3 linked regions of the Elephas maximus indicus genome follow. Each later gene encodes a partner of the first gene's protein in a complex. Links are inferred from orthologs where the notes say so. Each region holds a gene or a part of one and is shown on either strand. Other genes may lie near its edges.

Region 1 (7,751 bases):
CTGCTATCCTCACAGTTGTTGCTATGTTTGAGCCCATTGTTGTAGCTGCTGTGTCAATCCATGTCATTAAGGGTCTCTCTCTTTTTTGCTGACCTTCTACTAGCTCTGTTAGCGGTGGGCTGCTAACCCAAAGGTGAGCAGTTTGAACCCACCCCTCGCTCTGTGGGACAAAGACGTGGCAGCCTACTTCTGCAAAGATTTACAGGCTTGGAAGCCTTATGAGGCGGTTCTATTCTGTCCTGTAGGGTGGCTATGAGTCGGAATTGGCTCCACGGCAGTGAGTTTTCTACTAAGCATGAAGTCCTTCTCCAGGGAGTGGTCCCTCCTGATAACATGTCCGAAGTACGTGAGACAAAGTCTTGGCATCCTCACTTCCGAGGAGCATTCTCGCTGTACTTCCAAGACTGATTTGTTTGTTATTCTGGCAGTCCATAGTATATTCAATATTCTTTGCCAACATTATAATTCAAAGGCATCAGTTCATCTTCCGTCTTCCTTATTCATTGTCCAGTTTTTGCATGCATATAAGGTCATTGAAAATACTATGGCTAGGCTTAGTTACACCTTAGTTGTCTTAGTTATCTAGTGTTGGTATAACTGAAATACCACAAGTGGATGGCTTTAGCAAAGAGTAATTTATTCTCTCACAGTCTAGTAGGTTACAAGTCCAAATTCAGGGTGTCAGCTCCAGGGGAAGGTTTGTCTCTTTTTTGGCTCTGGAGGAAGGTCCTTGTCCTCAATCATCCCATGGTTGAGGAGCTTCTCAGGCACAGGGATCCCGGGTCCAAAGGACATGATCTGCTCCTGGTGCTGCTTTCTTGGTAGTATAAAGTCCCCAGCTCTCTGATGCTTCCCTTTCCTTTTATCTCTTGAGAGATAAAAGGTGGTGCAGGCCACACCCCAGGGGAACTCTCTTTACCTTGGATCAGGGAGGTGACTGAGTAAAGGTGGTGTTACAATCCCACCCTAATCCTCTCAACCTAAGGTTATAATCACAAACCGGAGGACAACCACACAATACTGGGAATCATGGCCTAACCAAGTTGATACACACATTTTTTGGGGGACATAATTCAATCCATGACATTCGTTCTCGAAGTGACATTTTTGCTTTTTAACACTTTAAAGAAGTCTTTTGCAGCAGATTTGCCCAATGCAATACATCATTTGATTTCTTGACTGCTGCTTACTATTTCTATTTTCAGTGCCCTTAGCTAAATCTCTAAGCTTAAGTTTCCTTACCTGGTAAAGAAATAAAATAATATTTACCTTGTTTATCTCTCAGAGTTGTTGTGAGCATTAAACAAGTCTGATAGTACTTTGAGTAATAGTAATTCAGTATCATCTCCTTAATCATTCCCCCAATGTTGTTGAAATGTATAAATATATGGATATATGCAGGCTCACGTAGAGACCAAGATCAAGAATATAACACATTTCCACTACTTGAATTAAATCCTGTTGAATGTAATTGGATTAATGATAAAACTTGAAGCAAGACCGTTGTGCCTATTCCAGACAATTAGTAAAAGTAACCCATTCATTGATTGATGGACCTTAGAATCCTTGACAGGGACTATGGTGTTTTTCTCAGTTTAATATAATGGTAGTGGCTAGGGGCAGTTATTTCTTTTATGTAGCAGACTTAAGTTCCTCCTTGGGAAGGTTGAATATGTTATGGCCCCTAGTATAAGTAATAAGGAGCCCTGGCTGTGCAATGGTTAAGCACTCAGCAGCTAACTGAAAGGTTCATGATTTGAACCTGCCCAACGTCTCCGTGGGAGAAAGACCTGGCGATTTGCACCCCTAAAGATTACAGCCAAGAAAACTCTGTGGGGCAGTTCTCTGTCACACAGGGTCACCATGAGTTGGAATCGATTCAATGGCACCCAACATCAACAAGTAGAGGTAATATTCAATAAATACTTTTGACGGATTGATCTTTTTATTTGATTGTGTGGTGTTACCATTTCTATCCTTGTGATTCTAAATGGCTACGTGGAGAGCTATGAAAATGGATTTTCAAACAATCTTTAAGTTAACTTCCTTTTTGGCCTTTGGACAACACTTTTCATAACCCATTATACCAGAAGCATTTCATATTTTCAGTGAAACTAAAAGGTTAAAATATAGGGCTTTTTGAAACTCTTCCAAAGCAGCTGATAATCAGGAAAAAAAAAAAATGATTTTACACAACCTACAGAAACAAAAACAGTAGGGTGAGACATGCAAAGGAGTCAGAGAAAAGAAATTAGGACGGGACAGCATTAAAAACCATGCATGTTTTGTTTTTGAGGTTCTATAATTTTGACATTCGGTTGGATCACCTTTCTTGGGAATAGGCATAAATATGGATCTCTTCCAGTCAGTTGGCCAGGAAGCTGCCTTCCATATTTCTTGGCACAGATGAGTGAGCACCTCCAGAGCTAGAACCGTTTGTTGAAACATCTCAGTTGATATTCCCTCAATTCCTGGAGCCTTGTTTTTCGCCGATGCCTTCAGAGCAGCTTGGACTTCTTCCTTCAGTATCATTGGTTCCTGATCATATGCCACCTCTTGAAGTAGTTGAACATCAACTAATTCTTTTTGGTATAATGACTCTGTGTATTCCTTCCATCTTCTTTTGATCCTTCCTGCATTGTTTAATATTTTCCCCATAGAATCCTTCAGTATTGCAACTCGAGGCTTGAATTTTTCCTTCAGTTCTTTCAGCTTGAGAAACGCCGAGTGTGTTCTCTCCTTTTGGTTTTCCATCTCCAGCTCTTTGCACATGTCATCATAATACTTTACTTTGTCTTCTCAAGACTTGCTTTGAAATCTTCTGTTCAGTTCTTTTACTTCATCGATTCTTCCTTTTGCTTTAGCTGGTCGACGTTCGAGAGCAAGTTTCAGAATCTCCTCTGACATCCATCTTGGTCTTTTCTTTCTTTCCTGTCTTTTCAGTGACCTCTTGCTTTCTTCATGTATGTCCTTGATGTCATTCCACAACTTGTCTGGTCTTCAGTCACTAGTGTTCAGTTCATCAAATCTATTCTTGAGATGGTCTCTAAATTCAGGTGGGATGTACATAATGTCATATTTTGGCTCTCGTGGACTTGCTCTGATTTTCTTCAGTTTCAGCTTGAACTTGCATATGAGCAGTTGATAATCTGTTCCACAGTTGGCCCCTGGCCTTGTTCTGACTGATGATATTGAGCTTTTCCATCATCTCTTTCCACAGATGTAGTCAATTTGATTCCTGTGTACTCCATCTGGTGAGGTCCATGTGTATAGTCGCTGTTTATGTTGGTGAAAGAAGGTATATGCAATGAAGAATTTGTTGGTCTTGCAAAATTCTATTATTCAATCTCCGGCATTGTTTCTGTCACTAAGGCCATATTTTCCAACTACTGATCCTTCTTCTTTGTTTCCAACTTTCGTATTCCAATCGCCAGTAATAATCAATGCATCTTGATTGCATGTTCAATCAATTTCAGACTGTAGCAGCTGATAAAAATCTTTTGTTTCTTCATCTTTGACCCTAGTGGTTGGTGCGTAAATTTGAATAATAGTCGCATTAACTGGTCTTCCTTGTAGGCGTATGGATATTATCCTATCACTGACAGCGCTGTGCTTCAGGATCTTGAAACGTTTCTTTTGACAATGAATGCAACACCATTCCTCGTCAAGCTGTCATTCCCAGCATAGTAGAGTATATGATTGTCCGATTCAAAATGGCCAATACCAGTCCATTTCAACTCACTAATGCCTAGGATATTGATGTTTAGCCATTCCATTTCTGTTTTAAAGATTTCCAATTTTCCACGTCTGTCCGCTTGTCCTACTGTGGGGACTTGAGTGTTCCTGTGATGCTGGAAGCTATGCCACCGGTATTCAGGTACCAGCAGGGTCACCCATGGAGGACAGGTTTCAGCTGAGCTTCCACACTAAGACTAGGAAGAAAGACCCGGCAGTCTACTTCTGAAAAGCATTAGCCAGTGAAAACCTTAGGAATAGCAGCTTTTTACTAATGATAAGACGTACAAAAAAAAAAAAAGGTGGTGATAAGTGCTGTTCATTGTAACTCAAATACATCTTAAGTCGAGGATTACCTATAAATATTTGGAGTTTTCCATATTCTATCCATTTTTAAGGAGCCCTGGTGGTGCAGTATCTAAGCGTTAAGGCTGCAGGCGAAAAGATCATAGTGTGAATCCACCAACAGCTCCTTGGAAACCCTATAGGGCAGTTCTACTCTGTCCTATAGGGTCGCTATGAGATGGAATCTACTTGATGGTAACGGGTTAGGTTTTGGTTTTATCCCTTTTTAATACTAACCGGAATCCATGGCTCTTATTTATCCACATTCGGTTGCTAAAGCTCTGTAGCTCCACAGCCTTGGGGGAGGTGGGACGGTTTTCTTCTCCAGCATCACCCTATTGCGCCATCTACCGGAGCTGTCAGGAAATTCCAGACCTAAAATCACCGCCTCTGGTCAAGATTCCCTAGTTACACTCCTCCCCGACGCCTGCGCTTCAGATGAGAAGTCTAGCCTATCAGAGACTACAATTCCCAGAAGACCGTGCAAAAAAAAAAAAAAATCCCTCTCTCTAGGAGTTAGGAACGATCGCGAGAGAACGAGGTTAAGGCGGCTGCGCGAAGTGGGTAGAAGGGGGTGGAGAGAGCGAGGAGGAAGAGGAGGAGGTACCGTCCCACAATACCAGGCGGGAGGGCGGTAGGCGGTTTGTATCCGGGCTGTGAGGTGCTCGGAGCCTCCGCGGACCTCGCTGCCGCTGTCTCTTTAACGCGAGAGGAAGCGATGCGGAGGGGTGGAAAATGGCAGAGCTGCAGATGTTACTAGAGGAGGAGATCCCGTCTGGCAAGAGGGCGCTGATAGAGAGTTACCAGAACCTGACCCGGGTGGCGGACTACTGTGAGAACAACTACATACAGGTGAGGAGCGCGGGCGGGCGGGCAGACGCTGCCCGGGCCGAGGACGCGCCGCCGGCCGCCGGAGTGACCAGCCCCCTGGGCGGGGTGGGGAACTGCCTAACCTCAGCCTCTGCCTCAGCTCCAACCCCAACCCCAAGCCCAGCCGCCAGAGAGCAAGTGGCAGGGTTGAGTGAGTCGGGCTGTGATACAGGAAGTGGCTCTGGTGGTTGAAACCGATAGAAGGGGAGAGAGAAAATGGGCGAGGGACCCGGGAGCCCGCCGCCACCGCAGCCGGGCGGCCCCCTGACGCCCGCCTCCCCGCAGGCTCGACCCCACGAGTCTCGCTGCCCTTCGGCAGCCCTCCCTTCTCCGTGCTTCTGTCCCGGGGACCCAGCTGCTGCCCCGCTGCCTCTCCGCCGGGGAGGGGGGGTCTGGAACCGGGAGAAGGGAGAGGAAAGGGCAGGGAAGAGGCTAAGGGAGAAGCAGCAGAAGGGACAGGAAAAGCGGGGTGTGCTTCGGGGAGGGTGGGGTGGGGGCAGTTATGTCAGTTCAACCCAGAGGGTGTGTCGTTTACTTATTTATTTTTTAAAAAAATTTGTCATGAGTCACATTACACAGACCTCCCTAAGGAGAGGAGAAGCGGGTGTGGAGTAAGGGAGGGCCTTTGAGAGAACTTAATCTTAAAATTCCTTTAATTGACGGTTTGTAAATCTGCCTGCCTGTCCGTTTTCAAGTCGGGTTTTTCGGTCTCATCATTTTCACTTCCGCTCCACTGCAATGTAGTCTAGAGGTTGTTAAGGAGTATCGTTATTATAAAACGTAAATTATTCTTAACTACTTGGAAAAATATCTTACTCTCTCTTCCGCCTAAAGTTCTTGAACCCTTGGCTTCACAAGTAACTTAGAATGGTGTAACCGCCGTTTTCTGAAGTTTCCCTGTTTCCAACCTATGTGCACGTGTAGAATATGAATCCAAATAGATTACCGAACCTTTGAACCAGAACGTAAAATAGCTGTTATTGCAAATTTATTGGAAAATTCTTGGGCCCTTATCTGTGATATAAGCTTGTTTTTATTTTAATGCTTGAAAGTGAATTATATGTGTAGTAGTTTGCTTTGCGGTTCATTAACTGTGTAAACCAACAGTTTGCTGTAGAAGCAAATGAAGTAGCAGACTTTTGTATCAGTATAATGACACCCAAAAATTGCTTGTTATTGGTAAGGCATGACAGAACGTGCTTTGAAAGGTTAGAGGTATTGCAATTCAGAACTGAAGTATTTTTAGAAATGCCTTCGATGTGATTATCATTTTTAAGAACCAATGACTTCTGTATTGGCAAATGCATTTCCTCTTACTTTATAGGCAGAGGTGCTGTTTTCAAAATATTTTAATTATTTCTAAGTTTTTTTATTAGTAACATTGTCTCTTCAGTAGCATTACTAGGACTTTATCTTCACAAATTTTTTCAAGCATTTACTTAGGAATTTTACTGATAAGTAAAGTTGTTGAATGCCTGCCACATCTACTGTATTACTACTTGTTTTTTCAAACTGTATTTAGCGTTTAAAAAAATCACTTTAAACTCTAGTAGAAATGTGGATATAGTTTACAAATAGAAAAGTGGTTTTGTAGTTAGTCAGTATTAAAAATATGCAATTTTTATTCAACCCAGCATGAAAAGCTTTAAAATTGAGGCGAACCTTATTTGCTGAAGATCTTGAAGATTTTGAAACTCAGACAGCTTAGAAAGTTAAATTGCCCCCATCCCAGAAAAGCCATTTCTTAACAGAAGTCAGTAGATAAGTACTTCATAAAGGGGAGATTCCTTTTTGTTTTGCATGTTGGGAAATCTGACAAGTATATGGTGTGGTAACTGCTACACGTTGGCAACAGTTGGTAACTGCAAACATGTTTTAACCTGTCTGTTGGCTATTTCTTTTTCAGATGGTTGTATGCTGTAAAGGTGTTTCTTAATTTTCTTTTTTCTCTCTGACCCCTTTTCCTTCTCCCTCATACCACCGTCGTGTAATTTTGAAGTACTTTTAAACTTCATTGGTAATTTCCCTAATTAAGATGTCATGTTATTTCTCATAGTCTTTCACTTTCTAAAATATTAGTACCATGGTATCGAGTCATCGCCAGTGGCCTCAAGGTTTTTTTTTTTTGGTGGTCCTAAACTTGACTTCAGGTCCCTGGGGGGTGCATACAGATTGCATTTGACCACTAACCAAAAGGTTGGCAGTTCAAACCCATCCAGTAGTGCTGTGGAAGAAAGGCCTGGTGACCTTGCATTTACACTCAAGAAAACCCTGTGAAACTCAGTTGTAACATATGGGGGTTGCCATGAGTCGGAATCAACTAGATGAGAGTGGGTTTGTTTTTTAAACTTGCCTCCAGTGAGGTATTCTGATCTCGTCCTTACCTGCTGTTGACTCAGCCTCCCACTCATGGTGACCCCACGCACAACAGAATGAATGCGGTTCAGGCCTGTGTCATCCCCATGATTGGTTATGGGTGGGACCGTTGCGATTCATAGGGTTTCCATTGACTGATTTTTAGAAGTATGTCACCTGACCTTTCTTCTTGGTGGTCCCTGTCGGTCTGGAGGCTCTGATGAAACCTGTCCAGCATCATACCAGCGTGCAGTCCACCACTGACAGATGGATGATAGCTGGGCATGAGGTGCTGTGGCCAGAATCAGACCCAGGTCTCGCTCATGGAATGGGGGAATTCTACCACTGAACTGGGGGTGACGGGTGGGGGAGATGAAATTCTCACACAGCAGTGATTATCTTAATACCTCAGTAGCCCTTTAAGCTTTAGGCTGCATGATTCAGGT
Region 2 (7,110 bases), on another chromosome or scaffold:
AAGAACCGGAGAGGCATTTGATTATACAAAGATGGGAGCTGGGTCCTCAACTAGTGTAACTTTGACATCATGTTGTCCAAGAATTTCTGCCCTCCAAACTCAGGTTCCACTGTCATAACCAAAGCCATATCTAACTGAGTAGGCCATGGTGCCAAATACTCAACTGTAGTTCCTGGTTTGATGGCAAGGCCAACACTTCATATCATGCTCCCGAATGTCTTTAATCAAAGCTCCTGGGTTCTCAGTGGCCTCAGGATGAAAGGTATATTGATTGGACCCTGCTATAGCCACTGGCTTTACCCACTGTTCAGGCCTGGACACCATCATGTGTACGTTAAAGAAAGGGTCCTGGCCTAGCTGCTTTTGGAGGCTTTCTACCACAGGGTGACCAAAGGTGGTGCTGGTAACAAAATGCCTGTCTGTTACATCCAGGTGCAGATAATCAGCTCCAGAGTCCAGCATCTGGAGGCACTCCACCGCTAAATTGGCCAGGCTGCTGTTGAGGATGGACAGGACAATCTTGCAGCCAGACACCATGGTACTGGTTCCTCCCATTTTCTTCTTTTTTAATTATTTTTTGGTTGAGAATATGCACAGTGAAACATACACCAATTCAACAGTTTCTACATGTACAATTCAGTGACATTAATTACATTCTTTGACTTGTGTGACCATTCTCACTCTCCTTTTCTGAGTTGTTCCTCCCTCATTAACTTAAACTCACTGCCCCTTAAGGTTCCTAACTAATCTTTTCAAGATGCTGTTGTCAGTTTGATCCCATATACATAGATCTAAAAGAGCATAATGCTCAAGGCAGACATTCTTTATTAGTTAAGCTAAACCATTGTTTGATTTAAGAAGACTTCAGGGAATATTTTTGGTTTAAGGTTTAGAGATTATCTCAGGGCAATAGTTTCAGGGGTTCATCCAGCCTCCATGGCTCCAGAAAGCCTGGATTTCATGATAATCTAAAATTTTGTTCTGCATTTTGCCTCTTTTGGCCAGGATTCTTCTACACCTGTAAACCCATTGCCATTGAGTCGATTTCAACTCATAGCGACCCTACAGGACAGAGTAGAACTGCCCCATAGGGTTTCCAAGGAGCTCCTGGTAGATTTGAACTGCCTACCTTTTGGTTAGCAGCCGTAACTCTTAACTGCTACGCCACCAGGGTTTCTGGAATCTTCTATAGACTCTTTAATCAAAATGTTCAGTAATGGTAGCTGGGCACCATCCAGTCCTGGTCTCATAGCAGAGGAAGCAGTTGTTCACAGAGGCAATTATCCACACAGCCATTTCTTCCTCCTATTCCTGACCTTCCTTCTCTGTTGCTCCAGGTGAATAGAGACTAATTGTGCCTTGGATGCAGTACCATTTTCATGTTCTCTCTGTACAGTACTTTGAAAAAACTAGAAAATTAGATAACTTTGCACTGGTGGAACTCCATTATTATGTCTCTACTAAAACTGTTTGTGGTGCTATAAAAGAGCACAGTCTTTCCACAACATTTGGCACCTTTCAGTTTTATCTGGCAGCTCCAAACCCCTCACTGCAACATCCCCTTCCAAGGTCTGTTCTTGTTATCCCAGGCTACAGATCATTGCCTTTTCTCTAAATTAAAACTTTAAATATCAGGTTGAAAGAAACCAGATAATTTAAATATCCCAGCACATTAATACTTATTCAGTCTGAATACTGAGCAAATAATCTGAGAAACTGGCTATATGAAGAACGAGGCATCAGGGTTGGAGGAAGAGTCATGAACAATCTGCGATATGCAGATGACACAATATTGCTTGCTTAAAGCGCAGAAGACCTGAAGCACTTAACTGATGAAGATCAAAGACTACAGTTCTCAGTATGAATCACACCTCAACATAAAACAAAAATCCTCATAACTGGACCAATGAGCAACATCATGATAAGCTGCAAAAAGACTGAAGTTGTCAAGGGCTTCATTTTACTTGGATCTACAATCAACACCCATGGAAGCAGCAGTCAAGAAATCAAACATTGGGCATTGGATTGGACCAGTTTGCTGCAAAACATCTCTTTAAAGTGTTAAAAAGCAAAGATGTTACTTTGAGGACTAAGGTGTACCTGACCCAGCCCATGGTATTTTCAATCACCTTATATGCCTGGAAAAGCTGGACAATGAATAAGGAGGACTGAAGGAGAACTGATGCCTTTGAATTATGGTGTTGGCAAGAAATATTGAATCTACTGCCAGAAGAACAAACAAATCTGTCTTGGTAGAAGTACAGTCAGGATGTTTCTTAGAAGTGAGGATGGTGAGACTTTGTCTCCTGTACTTTGCACATGTTATTAGAAGGGACCAGTTTATGGAGAAGACATCATACTTGGTAGAGGGTCAGCAAAAAAGAGGAAGACCCTCAAGAGATGGACTGACACAGTGGCTGCAACAATGGGCTCAAACATAGCAACGATTGTGAGGGTGGTTCAAATGCAGTGTTTCCTTCTATTGTACATAGGGTCTCTGTGAATCAGAATCCACTGGAGGAACACCTAACAAGAACAACACGTTAATGACCTATAACAGTGCATTAGGTGGCATCTCTGAGACGTTTGTTTTAAAAAAAAACAAAACTCTTCAGGTACAAAAATGCAGCTCTAAGTATAGAATTCCAAGCACACTGGTAGGTACCATTATGTATTTTTGTACTTGGTGGGTACAGGGCTCTTTTTAATGCCCTTGAAAACAAGTCCTATGAGTCTCCGAACCGACTCATGGTTCCTAACAACAAAAAAAGTCCATTTAGTCTACTCACTTTCATTTGTTGGGGGTATTAAAATCAGGATTTCCATAGGTATAGTAGATACATTAGCTTTAAAAAAAAGTTTAAGAAGCTATTCATCACAATTTCCTTTTCATAAAGTGTTTTGATAAACCCAATGATAACTTATTTACTCTTTTATTGAAGTTAGCAGAATATTTTGTCATTGGCTTAAAACTAATGAAATAATGCAAAAGATTGATACATGGAAGGGCAGTAAGGCCAAAATCATCAAAGTGGCTCTACTTCTCTAGGCTTGAATCCTCATCCCAGCCAATTACATAAGTCCTTGATTTGTTCACTTTTGAAACCGTATCTGATATATTTGACCAGAGGGAATAGTAGCCTTGAAGTGTGGCTAGGAAACTAGCCAGGAAAAAAAAAGAAACAGAGAGATGGAAAAGTAGAAAGTTTCTGAAAAGCGGTCGGACTTAGGGTGGAGGCCAGGAAAAAATGGGAGCGTTCCTTCACCCACTGAATAAACATTTATTCTGTGCCACCCACGTGTTTCTCGTGGACAAATTCCAGATTCTGATTATCTCAGGAACTTGAGTTGTCCTCACTTCCGATCTCCTCCCGCATAAACTGCTTGGGGCAGGGGTGGTGTGGGGGTGAGTTAGGATGGAATGGGGAGCTTGGGAGAGGCGAAGCCGCTTCGCGGAACACAACATCTGCTGTGTTCTGCGGTGAGCGTCTGTCAAGCAGTGGGAGGAAAGGCGCCTGGAGCCACCAGCCCACTCTCAGGAGAAGCTCATCTGAGACTCCTCCCCGCCCCCCTACTTCTTCTGGTTTCTTTAGGACGATGGCGCAGAAAGACAACTTATGTTGCCACTTTAGGAACTTGAAGGCTGGGGGGTGCTGGAAGCGGCGGGACGCACAGAGAAACGTGACCCTACTCGGTCCCCACTTAGGACTCACATTTGGGGAATAGGCGCAGGCAGCGAGTCGGGTTCAGGTGGGGTCCGGGTCCAGAGTGGCTGCGACTTGGAAGCCTGTCGGGGTAGGCAAGGGCCTGCCTGGCGCAGTTCTCCGACCGTCCTCGCGGGGGCGCCGGCGCGGCCGATCAGGTGACCGAGCGCCCGTCCGGGGCTGCGGGAAGCCGCCTCGTTCTCAGCCGCCGGAGACGCCGCTGCCGCCGCCACACCTAGTGGAGGAGTCGGGGAAGGCGGCTTGGTGGGGGCTGGGACAGAAGGCGGCGGGGGTGGGGACGGAAGGGCGGCGGGCGGAAGGCAGGAGGCTGCCGGGGCGCGGGCTGCTGCGGGGGAAGGGACCCCAAGGCGTCCGCCGCGGCTCGCTCTGTCACCGGCGCGGGGTTGGGACGCTAGGGCCATGGACGCGCTTCCCTGAGGCGGAGGTCGCGGGCGGGAGAGGAGGAGGCCGAAGAGAGGTTACTGCGGAGGCCGCGGGCCAGTGACCGGGCGCCAGCAGGCCGGCGGCGGCGGCGGCACCACCACCATGTCGCGCTCCGTGCTGCAGCCCAGTCAGCAGAAGCTGGCGGAGAAGCTCACCATTCTCAACGACCGGGGGGTCGGCATGCTCACCCGCCTCTACAATATCAAGAAGGTGCGCACGGGCCGGCGAGGCCGCGGCGGGCGGAGGGCCGAGGAGGGATGGAGGGTAGGGGAGGCCTGGAGGGTGCGGGGCGGCGCCGCGGGCAGAAATCCAGCATCGCCGCGTCAGGCCCGGCCCGGAGTCGCCGGGATGTGCCGCGGCCTAACGGGGAGTTCCGGGAGCCTCTCCCGGTGGCTCGCGGGCCGACCGGAGGCAGGGAGAAGCCATTTCCCACTTCCCAGCGGCAGGATCCGGCGCCGGCCCTGGCGTGGGGTGGGGGCGCCGTTGCCCCCTTCTTCGCGCCTCCGCCCCCTGGACGGGGTCGTCAGGAACGGGAGAGAGATGGGTGGGCTAGATTTTCGGAGAATAGGAAAAGTTGGGTGTTCCAAAACAGACGAAACCCTAGAAATCTGGCGGGGATAGCAGTGAACGGGGATTACACCCCACCTCTCAATTTCTTGGTGTGTGGGAATGTGGGAAAGGAATGAATGGCTAATCAACATTAACCTACATTCTTTCTGCTCTGCCAGTTTATTTGAGATTGCTGAATAAAAACCATTTGAGAGGCTGTTGACGATTTGGGATTATTTCATTTTTTGAAGGTGGAGAGGAGGGGGAAGTGAGGGTGGAACCAATTTTCTTCTCAAATACTTCTGGGCTGTGAGTCACTAGAACAGGAATAACAACCTTCTTTCCCTACCCCCTTTACTCCTCCTCATCTGAATTTTTCCAGCCCTATCTGATAATGTTAAAACACCATTTCTTAGACTGTGGTGTCTATACCAAATAAAAATGTAAATATGTTGTGAATTCTGCAGATTTATAGCATAATCAGATAATTTGAGTAGCTAATAGACTCATTGAAAATCTTTACATGTCTTCAGCAAATTTAAGAAATGGGAGGTTGAATTGTAGTTAAGAAAAATAGATGTAATGGTAGAGCAAATATTGCATTCATTTATCTTAGGAGAAAACAACAAAAATCCTTTTCCTTTTTAAAGGTAAGGTTGGTAATTTTTAATGAATGTGGTTAAGAGAAAATTAAAGAGCAATTTTGTTTGCAGTCTAGAGCCTTTGAGTTTCCAGTGTGTATTTGGTGTCATTATCTTCATGGTTATTTTTGCTGGCTTTTTAAAGTACCACGAATATTTTATTTAATCGTAGCAGTAGAATCGCAGCTTTTGTGAGTCTTGGCTGCTGAAGAAAGATTGTGTTTTTCAAAATTCACATCATGGGGTTCAGGTATAAAATTTGAGGTAGATAGTCTACTTCTAAAGGGAAAGATGGTTTTGCTGTAGTTACGATAAATTTTGGATAAGGATTGCTATGGTCCTCCAGTTGCTCACAAGGATGCAAGGATTGACTCTGCACCCAGTGCAGTCTACCTGTGCGGTTTGTTACATTTTATGTGACTGGGGCATAGTGTCATTACAAAGAAGCCCTTTGCATTTACTAAGATGCCTTGGTTATAAATTTATGTACGTTAGGAATAATTTAATTTTAGATAGTATTACTTGTAGGTTGCATTGACTTGAATGTTTTGTGAGATTATACTTTTTAGACAACTCAGAAATTGGTTCCAATACAAACTTTGTCCAAACAACTAGCAATTCAAACTTCAGTAAAGTTACTAGACCTGTGGTATTGTGGTTAAAGGAAATGGTTATGATGGTTTCCAGAAGAGGAAGTGAGAGTAACATCAAAAGTGATTTGGTATTTGGGCAAAACACTTTTTTTTAAAGCATACATTAAACATTTTTATATTATAAATGTAAGCAAACTTACCATATTCTACCATAGTAAATTAGGTAAGGGTAAACTAAAATCTAAAGATCTGAACAGATGACGGTTCACTGTCTTTTCTCAAAAGCAGTTTTTTTTTTTTTACTTCCTGTTTTGAGAAACTTTAGGCTCTTGAAGTAGCAAGATTTAAAATAAGTTGAATGTGATCAGTATTATATCCATGTGTCAAATACCTTGAGTTTTTGAAATGTTGTATTTCAGCACTTAGCACATATTTGTAGTTCATTGGGAAATATTTTATCTACCTTGCCTTAACGTGAGTTCCCTTGGGGCAGGGACAGTGTTATTCATCCCTAAACTACTGGTATTTAGGGTCTCACTTGGTACCTGAGGCCTTTAAGGCCTTGTTGAAATGAATGAATACAAAAAATATATATACCTTGCCCACATTTCAATAATAATAATTTTGGTTTGCTCTCCTTGTGTAACTGCATATAAATGCATTAAAGAAATTTTGGATCTTTTAGCCTCTAGAGTTGCCTGTGAGGCCAGCTTATCTTCTCAGCTGGCTAGGGATTGAAACATTTGTTCCAAAATCTTGCCAAAAACAGTAATATGTGTCCACCATGTGTTCATGCTGTCTGCATTCTTATGACAGTATAAACCACATAATCTTTTCAATCTCAACCTTTATAGTCTTCAAAAAACTACCACCCTATATACATGCCATTCAGTTATCATTCTTTTATTAATGCATATGTACATTAGATTGTCTATCAGATTTGATTAATCTTCACTCCAATTGAAAGTCTACTCTGGAAATATTTTAGCGAGCATGTACAATGAAAAATGCAAACTTCAGTGACCTAAGTCTAATAACACTTTTATAAGTTACTCTAGACAATAATATTATGCTTTAATGCTCATGGAGCCCTGGTGGTACAGTTGTTAAGAGCTTGGCTGCTAACTAAAAGGTCGGCAGTTGGAATCTACCACCCACTCCTTGAAAACCCTATGGGGC
Region 3 (7,084 bases), on another chromosome or scaffold:
GAGAGGGCTTGCCCCTCAGGAGGAGCAATCCTTCTCAAGTTCCACGATTAGGTTTGAATCCCAGCTGTTCTGCTTCCAGACTGGGCCACTTCAGGAGAGTCACTTAATTTCTCTGTGCCTCCTTTACCTTGTTTGTAAAATGGGGATGATAGTAACAGGACCTAGTTTATAGAATTGTTGTGAGAAGTAAATGAGTTAATGCATGTAAAGCACTTAGCATATGCCTGGCACATAGTAAATACTCAATAAATGAGAGTGCTTAATATTACCATTTATGTACAAAACATCACCCCATCTGAAAATAACTTGTGTACCTTCATTGCCTAAAAGGAGAAGCCAAGACTCCTGTTGTCAGACAACCTTCAAGCAAAGCTCCAGAGTCTTAATTTCCAGTGCAAGTAGTAACTGCTATTATTAATAATTACTATATTATTAGAGTTAACATTCAATAAATGCTTACTATGTGCCCATGCTAAAAGCTTCACATTTGTTATCTTATTTAATCTTCGTATCTCTGGGAAATAGAAATAATTATAATCCCCATCTTATGGATAAGACAACTGTGGCTCAGATAGACTATGCCACCTGCCCAAGGTCACACAGCTAGAAGACTTACTTGGCTCCAAAGTTTCCTATGACAATTAGGATCATGTGACAACTCACCAAGTGCCTAGCTGCCTGCAACAGCTCTCTCCCAACACATCCGCTGGATATCCTGCCTCAGGCTCACCTCTGTCCGTGCTGGGAAGACCAAGCACCATTTACAGAGGGCCTTCCATGGGCCAGGACACCTTATACACATTTTGCATTGAATTTTCATCCCAACATTTTGGCCCTCTATCATTATCCTCATTTCTCAGAAATACAGCTGAGGCAAAGAGAGGTGCTTCATACACTCAGAGGTGGCAGAGCCAAGATTCAAACCCTGCCTCACAGCTTGTATTCTCCCAGGGACTATAGGTACAGATGCCCTTGGAGAACAGTCACACTTTCAAGGCCAGGTTCCCACCCCTGTAACACCCTCATTCTTTCAGCAATAACCACAATACTCCCATGGTAGCCCATAAGGCCTGTACGCTCTGCCTCCCTCCCCAGCGCCATCAACCATATTGGTCTAGATACCTTTTCTGTTGGCCCGTAACACTTCTCCCCAACTCCCTGCTGCCTGGTTCAGTCCTATTCATCCAACTCTCCCAAGACATCACCTCTTTAGAGAAACCTCCTCTGACTCCACCCTATCCCCTGATATTCACACTCATAAACACACTGTACTTTGCCTTCTTGTTCCTTATCATAGTTTCTAACTATATTCTGATTCCTGTGTTTTGATTTGTGTAATCATTTGTTCAATGGCTTTCTTCCTCACCAGACTCTAAGCTCCATGAGGGTCTAAGTCTGTTTCACTCACCATTGTAGCTGCAGTATTGGCAGGCTGCCCTGCATGTGGTGGGTGCTTAATAATATTCTGTCATGGACTGAGTTGTGTCCCCCGAAAATATGTGTATCAATTTGGCTAGACCATGATTCCCGCTACTGTGTGATTGTCCACCATTTTGTCACCTGATGTAATTTTCCTGTGTGTTGTAAATCCTATCACTATGATGTTAACAAGATGGATTAGTGGCAGTTATATTGATGAGATCTACAAGATTAGACTGTGTCTTGAGCCAATCTTGCAATATAAAAGTGAGAAACAAGCAGAGAGTCGTGGGGACCTCAAACCACCAAGAAACAAGAGCCAGGAGACTAGTGCATCCTTTGGACCTGAGGTTCCTGAGTGAGAAACTTCTCAAACGGGAAGATTGATGACAAGGACCTTCCTCCAGAGCTGACGGAGAGAGAAAGCCTTCCCCTGAAGCTGACGCCTACTAGACTGTGAGATAATAAATTTCTCTTTGTTAAAGCCATTCACTTGTGGTATTTCTGTTAGAGCAGCACTAGATAACCAGGGCATATTCTATGTAACGAATGAATGGCTACTGGGCACGTTACACACATTGCTCATTAATTCCATAATTAACTCATTTAATCCTCTGAACTGCCCTATTGTCCCATTTTAGCGAAGAGGTAGGTGAGGGCTGATCCAAAAAAAAAATCAAACCCATTGCTGTCAAGTTGATTCTAATTCATAGTGACTCTACAGGACAGAGTAGAACTTCCCCATAGAGCTTCCAAGGCTGAAATCTTTATGAAAGTAGACTGCCGTATTTTTCTTCCACAAAGCGGCTGGTGGGTTCGAACCTCCGACCTTTCGGTTAGGAGCCAAGCACTTAACCACCATGTCACCAGGGCTCCTAAGTGAGGGTTAAAGAGCTAAAGAATGGCAGAGCTTGGATTCCATCACAAATCAGTCTGACCCCAAAGCAAGCCACTACCTTCTGCATAGCACCTGCTGCCTCCCAGCACCCTAAGGTCACAGTCAGGATTGAAATAGTTGCTGGCTGTCAATTTGAGCCAAGAGGTTAGAGACTCGGCTGGCACTGAGGCCCTTGTTGGTACCACACCCAGTAGGAAGGCTCTGCCCTTCTAAAATTTTAGGCTGCTCCACCTCCTACTCCCTTTTTGGCCTCTTTTCTTTCCAGAGAAGGAAAAAGGCTAAGATTTACAGCCAAGGCAGCCCTTCTGGGAAAAACAATCTTGTGGTGAAAAGAGCCCTGTTCTGAGAAGGGTGAGACCTGGATTTCAGTCTTGGCATGGAGGCTGCCCTGCTGAAGGCCCACAATGGCATCACTGCCCCTCCTGGAGCTTCTGTGTCCTCATTGGGATTCTGCCTGGGCTGCTGACCCACCTGCTATCCCTTACCTCCTGATTCCTAGGGCCCCAGAAACAGCTCAGACACACACCAAGGGTCACTTTTTTTCCCAGGAACCTTAGTGATCGACAAGTAGCTGAGGGTTGGCCTGTACCCAAATCTATAATGACCAGAGATGTGGGATGCTATCCTAGAACCTTCAGGGCTTTTCCGAGAATGCTAAGGAGATGCAGGGGAAGTCTTCCTCGAGTGACACCTGGCCTGGAAGGGAGGAATACAGAAATGGAAGCCAAAAGACACAGGTTTGAGCCCCAGACCAAAAAAAAAAAAACCAAACCCAGTGGCGTTGAGTCGATTCCAACTCATAGCGACCCTACAGGACAGAGTAGAACTGCCCCATAGAGTTTCCAAGGAGCGCCTGGTGGATTCAAACTGCCGACCCTTTGGTTAGCAGCCGTAGCTCTTAACCACTACGCCACCAGGGTTTCCATAGCTGTTTCAAATTCCCTGAGCAACTCTGGGCAAGTCACCGAACATCAGAGACTCAGTTTTCTCTTCTGCCTCACGGGGTTGTTCTGGAAAATCAAAATGAGATTAGCTTTGCTAATTTGGGAACTTGTTGCGCAGTTGTCCAGTCGCAGTCTTTTGTAATCAACAAGATGCACTCATGCACCTATTCTCAAACGACCCAGGACGTGAAGCAGGGTGAGGCGGTATAACTGAGAGAGAGATTCAGGTTGTTGTCTGAGGTCGCAGAGTCAAGTAGCGGCTGAACTAGGGTCCAGCTCACTTCACTCAATTATCAGAACCTGCTCCCCGTCCCAGGACCCCGGATCTCGCCCCAGGTGGATTCTTCAGGGCCAGGATGAAGCCTTATGACTCTCTCTCTCATCCCCCACCCTACTTTCGGCCGGGTCTGAGATCGAGCTGGGTGGGACAAAACTATCTGCAACTTGAGGGGTGTCCACAGAAAGTTTATGGGACTGGCCCCTTCCTTCCAACAAAAATACTGATTCTTTGAACTTTAAAAGAATAATTTGTCTTTTAATACACTTGTATGAGTTTTTACACTTTCTTATTTGGACTTTTCCTACCTTAAATTTAGGAGTTGATTTACCTTAATTTCCACTCCCACTTCACTTGGTTTGCCCCCTGCTGTTTACTCCGTTTGCGGAAATCGCTCGGGTGGAGCTCCCGGGACAGTATCCTTGAATACGTCTTTTGCGTAGTTATTTAACTGGCATTCCGCTCGAGCCAATGGAATACTCCGAAGCCCCGGGCGGGTGGGGCAGAGAGCCAATCAGAACTGTCGGCGGGGTGTGGCTGCGTCTCAGGGTGGGGAATCGCGTAATGGCGGATGCGGGCCGGCCGAGCGCGGCTGGGGGCGTTGTGTGCTGAGGGGGGTCCGGCTGGGGTGGCAGGCCGTGAGGCGGCCCGCGGGAGCAGACCCCTTGCTGAGACGAGGTGGCCGGCCGGCCGGCCCGCCGGCCCTTCTGTCGCTGAGGGCGCCCGCGCGAGGCCAGGTGAGCAACAAGTCCCCTCGGGCGGGCCCCGCCGCCCCGCCGTGAGGCGCTAGGCCGGGCCGGGCCGGGCCGGGCCGCCCCTCCCGAGTCGCGCAGGGTCCGCGGGGAGTGGGTGCAGCGTCTCCTATCGCGGACGGGCAGAGGCCCGGCGAGCCGTCAGCGCGAGGTGGCGTTCCTACCCCAAGGGGTGACCCGGAGACTTGGAGGGGCCTATAGTTCTGTGAGGCTGCGAGAGTGCCCCAGCTTGCCCTGGTTCCGCCACCAGCTCGCTATGTGACCTTGGGCAAGTCACTTCCTTCACTGGGCCTCACTTTTCCCATTTATAAAATGAAGGCTTTATGGACAGATATACATGAGTTGGATCCCAGCTGTTTGAGATTTTGGGCAAGTTCTTTCCCAGCTGAGCCACTGTTCCCACTTTCTGGACAGCTCAGGAGTTGACGTGCTTTTTAAGCTCTTGGCCTGCTAAATTGTGGACTGGCAAGGCGAACACGGAGGGCTCTGTGTGTGTGTGTGTGTGTGTGTGTGTTCAGAGTGGTCTGCAAGAGTAAAGAGGAGAAGAGTTGGCTAAAGGTGCTGGGTGTTTCCTAGACCATGATGGGTGGGGTCGGGTTGTCCTGGTACTCTGAGAATCCTAGAGCCTTGGAGATGAGGAAGTTTTATACAGTTGCCCATAGAATCAGAGAAGAGGAAGGAATCCTTGGAGCCTCTCAGGGCTGTGACTGGAACTTAGGCCCAGCAGTCAGGAGGGTTAGGAGGAGGGAGAAGAACATTTATGGTGCTCCTGCTTTGTACTAATTTAATTTTTACAGAAACCGTTGAGAATTTACACATGAGAAAACTAAGTTTCAGAGGAGTTAAGTAACTTGCCCAAGGTCACACAGTAAGGTGCAGCACTCACCAGTATTAAGGTGTTTCCTTTGATAATTACTGGGCAAGAGGAAGTCATTGTCCATTTAAAAGATAAACTAAAGCAAAACCAAATCATTGCCGTTTAGTCGATTTCGACTCATAGCGACCTTATAGGACAGAGTAGGTTTCCAAGGCTGCAAATCTTTACAGAAGCAGACTGCCAGCTCCACATCTTTTTCCCGCAGAGCAGCTGGTGAGTTTGAACCACTGACCTTTCGGTTAGCAGCCGAGTGCTTTAACCACTGTGCCAGCAAGGCTCCTATTTATTATATCTTATTTAGAAGATACCAGTGGGAGAGGGGGGCTGGCCCCAGATACTTAATTTCTTGCATGGAGACAGGCTGGGTCAAGATCCCTGCATGGTTAATTATAAGTCTGTCCCCTTTGTTCCCTCTCTGAGTTGGAAAGGACTATTTCTAAATTGTAAAAGTCACTTTGAAGTGTGTCAGAACTTCAGACCGCTCAGCTCGAATCCTGGCCAGGTGGCCTATGGAAGAAAGTTCAACCAGCTATTAACTTGACGCTTGGTTCGGGGTGGTGCCAGCCCAGTAAACTTGCTCTCCTCCCTAAGAAGGCCACGTTTTCTTGGGCTGGGAGAAAGTTTAGTTTAGGATTTCTTTGGATTCTAGGGGTGAAAGGTTCAACAGTTTGTCCCTGAATGTACTATTTCTTTGTGCTCTCTGTATCTGACTTCTAGATGAGCAAAGATTGTGGACCTGAGGAGGAGGTAGTTGGGTACTATAAATTACAACCCATACTTTTTCCAAACCTTGGCACTTTTGATTAATCAAAATGGTGGGACTGACCTTGGGTATTGTTCTCTTATGTTAATGGTAGGGAAGAAAATTGGAAGAGGAAGTTGCTGAGAAAGAAGGCGTTTCTTAGCAATGGAGCCAATATGTATTTTCTTTGTTTGAAATTCTAAAACCAGAAAAGCAGCAACTAAAGGAGGAAGGAAGGAAGGAAGGAACTGTGAAACTCTTCTTCCCATTCAAACATCCTTTAAGAGCTGTCCCTGTCAGAGGCTCTCCTTTCACAGAAAAAGTCAATTGTAATCAACTTTCAGAACTTCTACTCTAGAATGAAATAATTTTAAATCTTAAACCTTCTGAGATATTTTTTTTTAAAAACCAAAACATTTTACCGAGCAAGCTATTTATCAGTGAATGGTTCTTTTTCTCAACATAATTTTTCTTAGCATAATTACCAATTCAGTCTTTGCCAATATTTTAACTGCGATTTAAGTGGATTTCAATCTAAGAGGAATTGATCTAGATATTGGATGATGCAAATGTCACCATCACTTGAAATACAACATAATTGATGTGTTTGGGTTTTTGACATTTGTTAAAAGTCCTTTTAATGCTTTAATTTCTAGGATTGTATGTGTGCGTGATAGTTGTTAAGACATTGAATTTATCACATGTGAAGATCTACATTCATTCTCAGTATTATATTTTATGTATGAGAAGACATAGCATTAATTAGTATACCAGTCCACAGTACCGTATTCAGAATCTTTGGGGGCAAAATAATTCTTGGGGCCAGATGTGATTCTGGATTTTAGAAAAGAAATATGGTACATGTACCGGATATTATGTAACACTCCCAGAGAGGTTGGGGTCAGCACCTCGTAATCAAACACATAACTATTTCTATAGCAAAATGTCTGAATGTTCACACCAACTGGGATAAATGAATACTATGAATAACCTCATGTCAGTTCATGTCAGGTTTTGTATCCAAATGAATAATAATAAACTTGTTTTTCACAGCCTTTTGGATTTTGGAATTGAAGTTAAGGGATTGTGGACCTCTGTGGGTAAAACTTGTATGATGACAAGAATAATTACAGGGAACAATATTGTATAACCAATCTAATTTCAAAGTCATGGGT

The links.
Region 2: ABI1 (region 1) and NCKAP1 share a complex: the UniProt entries of both Homo sapiens proteins name them as parts of the WAVE2 complex. The link is inferred for Elephas maximus indicus from reciprocal best matches to the Homo sapiens genes ABI1 and NCKAP1.
Region 3: ABI1 (region 1) and WASF2 share a complex: the UniProt entries of both Homo sapiens proteins name them as parts of the WAVE2 complex. The link is inferred for Elephas maximus indicus from reciprocal best matches to the Homo sapiens genes ABI1 and WASF2.

The regions. Positions count from the first base shown.
Region 1 is NC_064822.1:28,454,358-28,462,108, forward strand, and holds the start of ABI1 (abl interactor 1), read left to right. Parts: upstream 1-4,673; 5' UTR 4,674-4,815; coding exon 4,816-4,932; intron 4,933-7,751. UniProt on the Homo sapiens protein: May act in negative regulation of cell growth and transformation by interacting with nonreceptor tyrosine kinases ABL1 and/or ABL2. May play a role in regulation of EGF-induced Erk pathway activation. Involved in cytoskeletal reorganization and EGFR signaling.
Region 2 is NC_064824.1:81,383,238-81,390,347, reverse strand, and holds the start of NCKAP1 (nck-associated protein 1), read left to right. Parts: upstream 1-4,126; 5' UTR 4,127-4,250; coding exon 4,251-4,358; intron 4,359-7,110. Other genes in the region: nematocyst expressed protein 3-like, read right to left, coding at 3,714-4,126. UniProt on the Homo sapiens protein: Part of the WAVE complex that regulates lamellipodia formation. The WAVE complex regulates actin filament reorganization via its interaction with the Arp2/3 complex. Actin remodeling activity is regulated by RAC1.
Region 3 is NC_064821.1:67,844,519-67,851,602, reverse strand, and holds the start of WASF2 (actin-binding protein WASF2), read left to right. Parts: upstream 1-4,082; 5' UTR 4,083-4,275; intron 4,276-7,084. UniProt on the Homo sapiens protein: Downstream effector molecule involved in the transmission of signals from tyrosine kinase receptors and small GTPases to the actin cytoskeleton. Promotes formation of actin filaments. Part of the WAVE complex that regulates lamellipodia formation.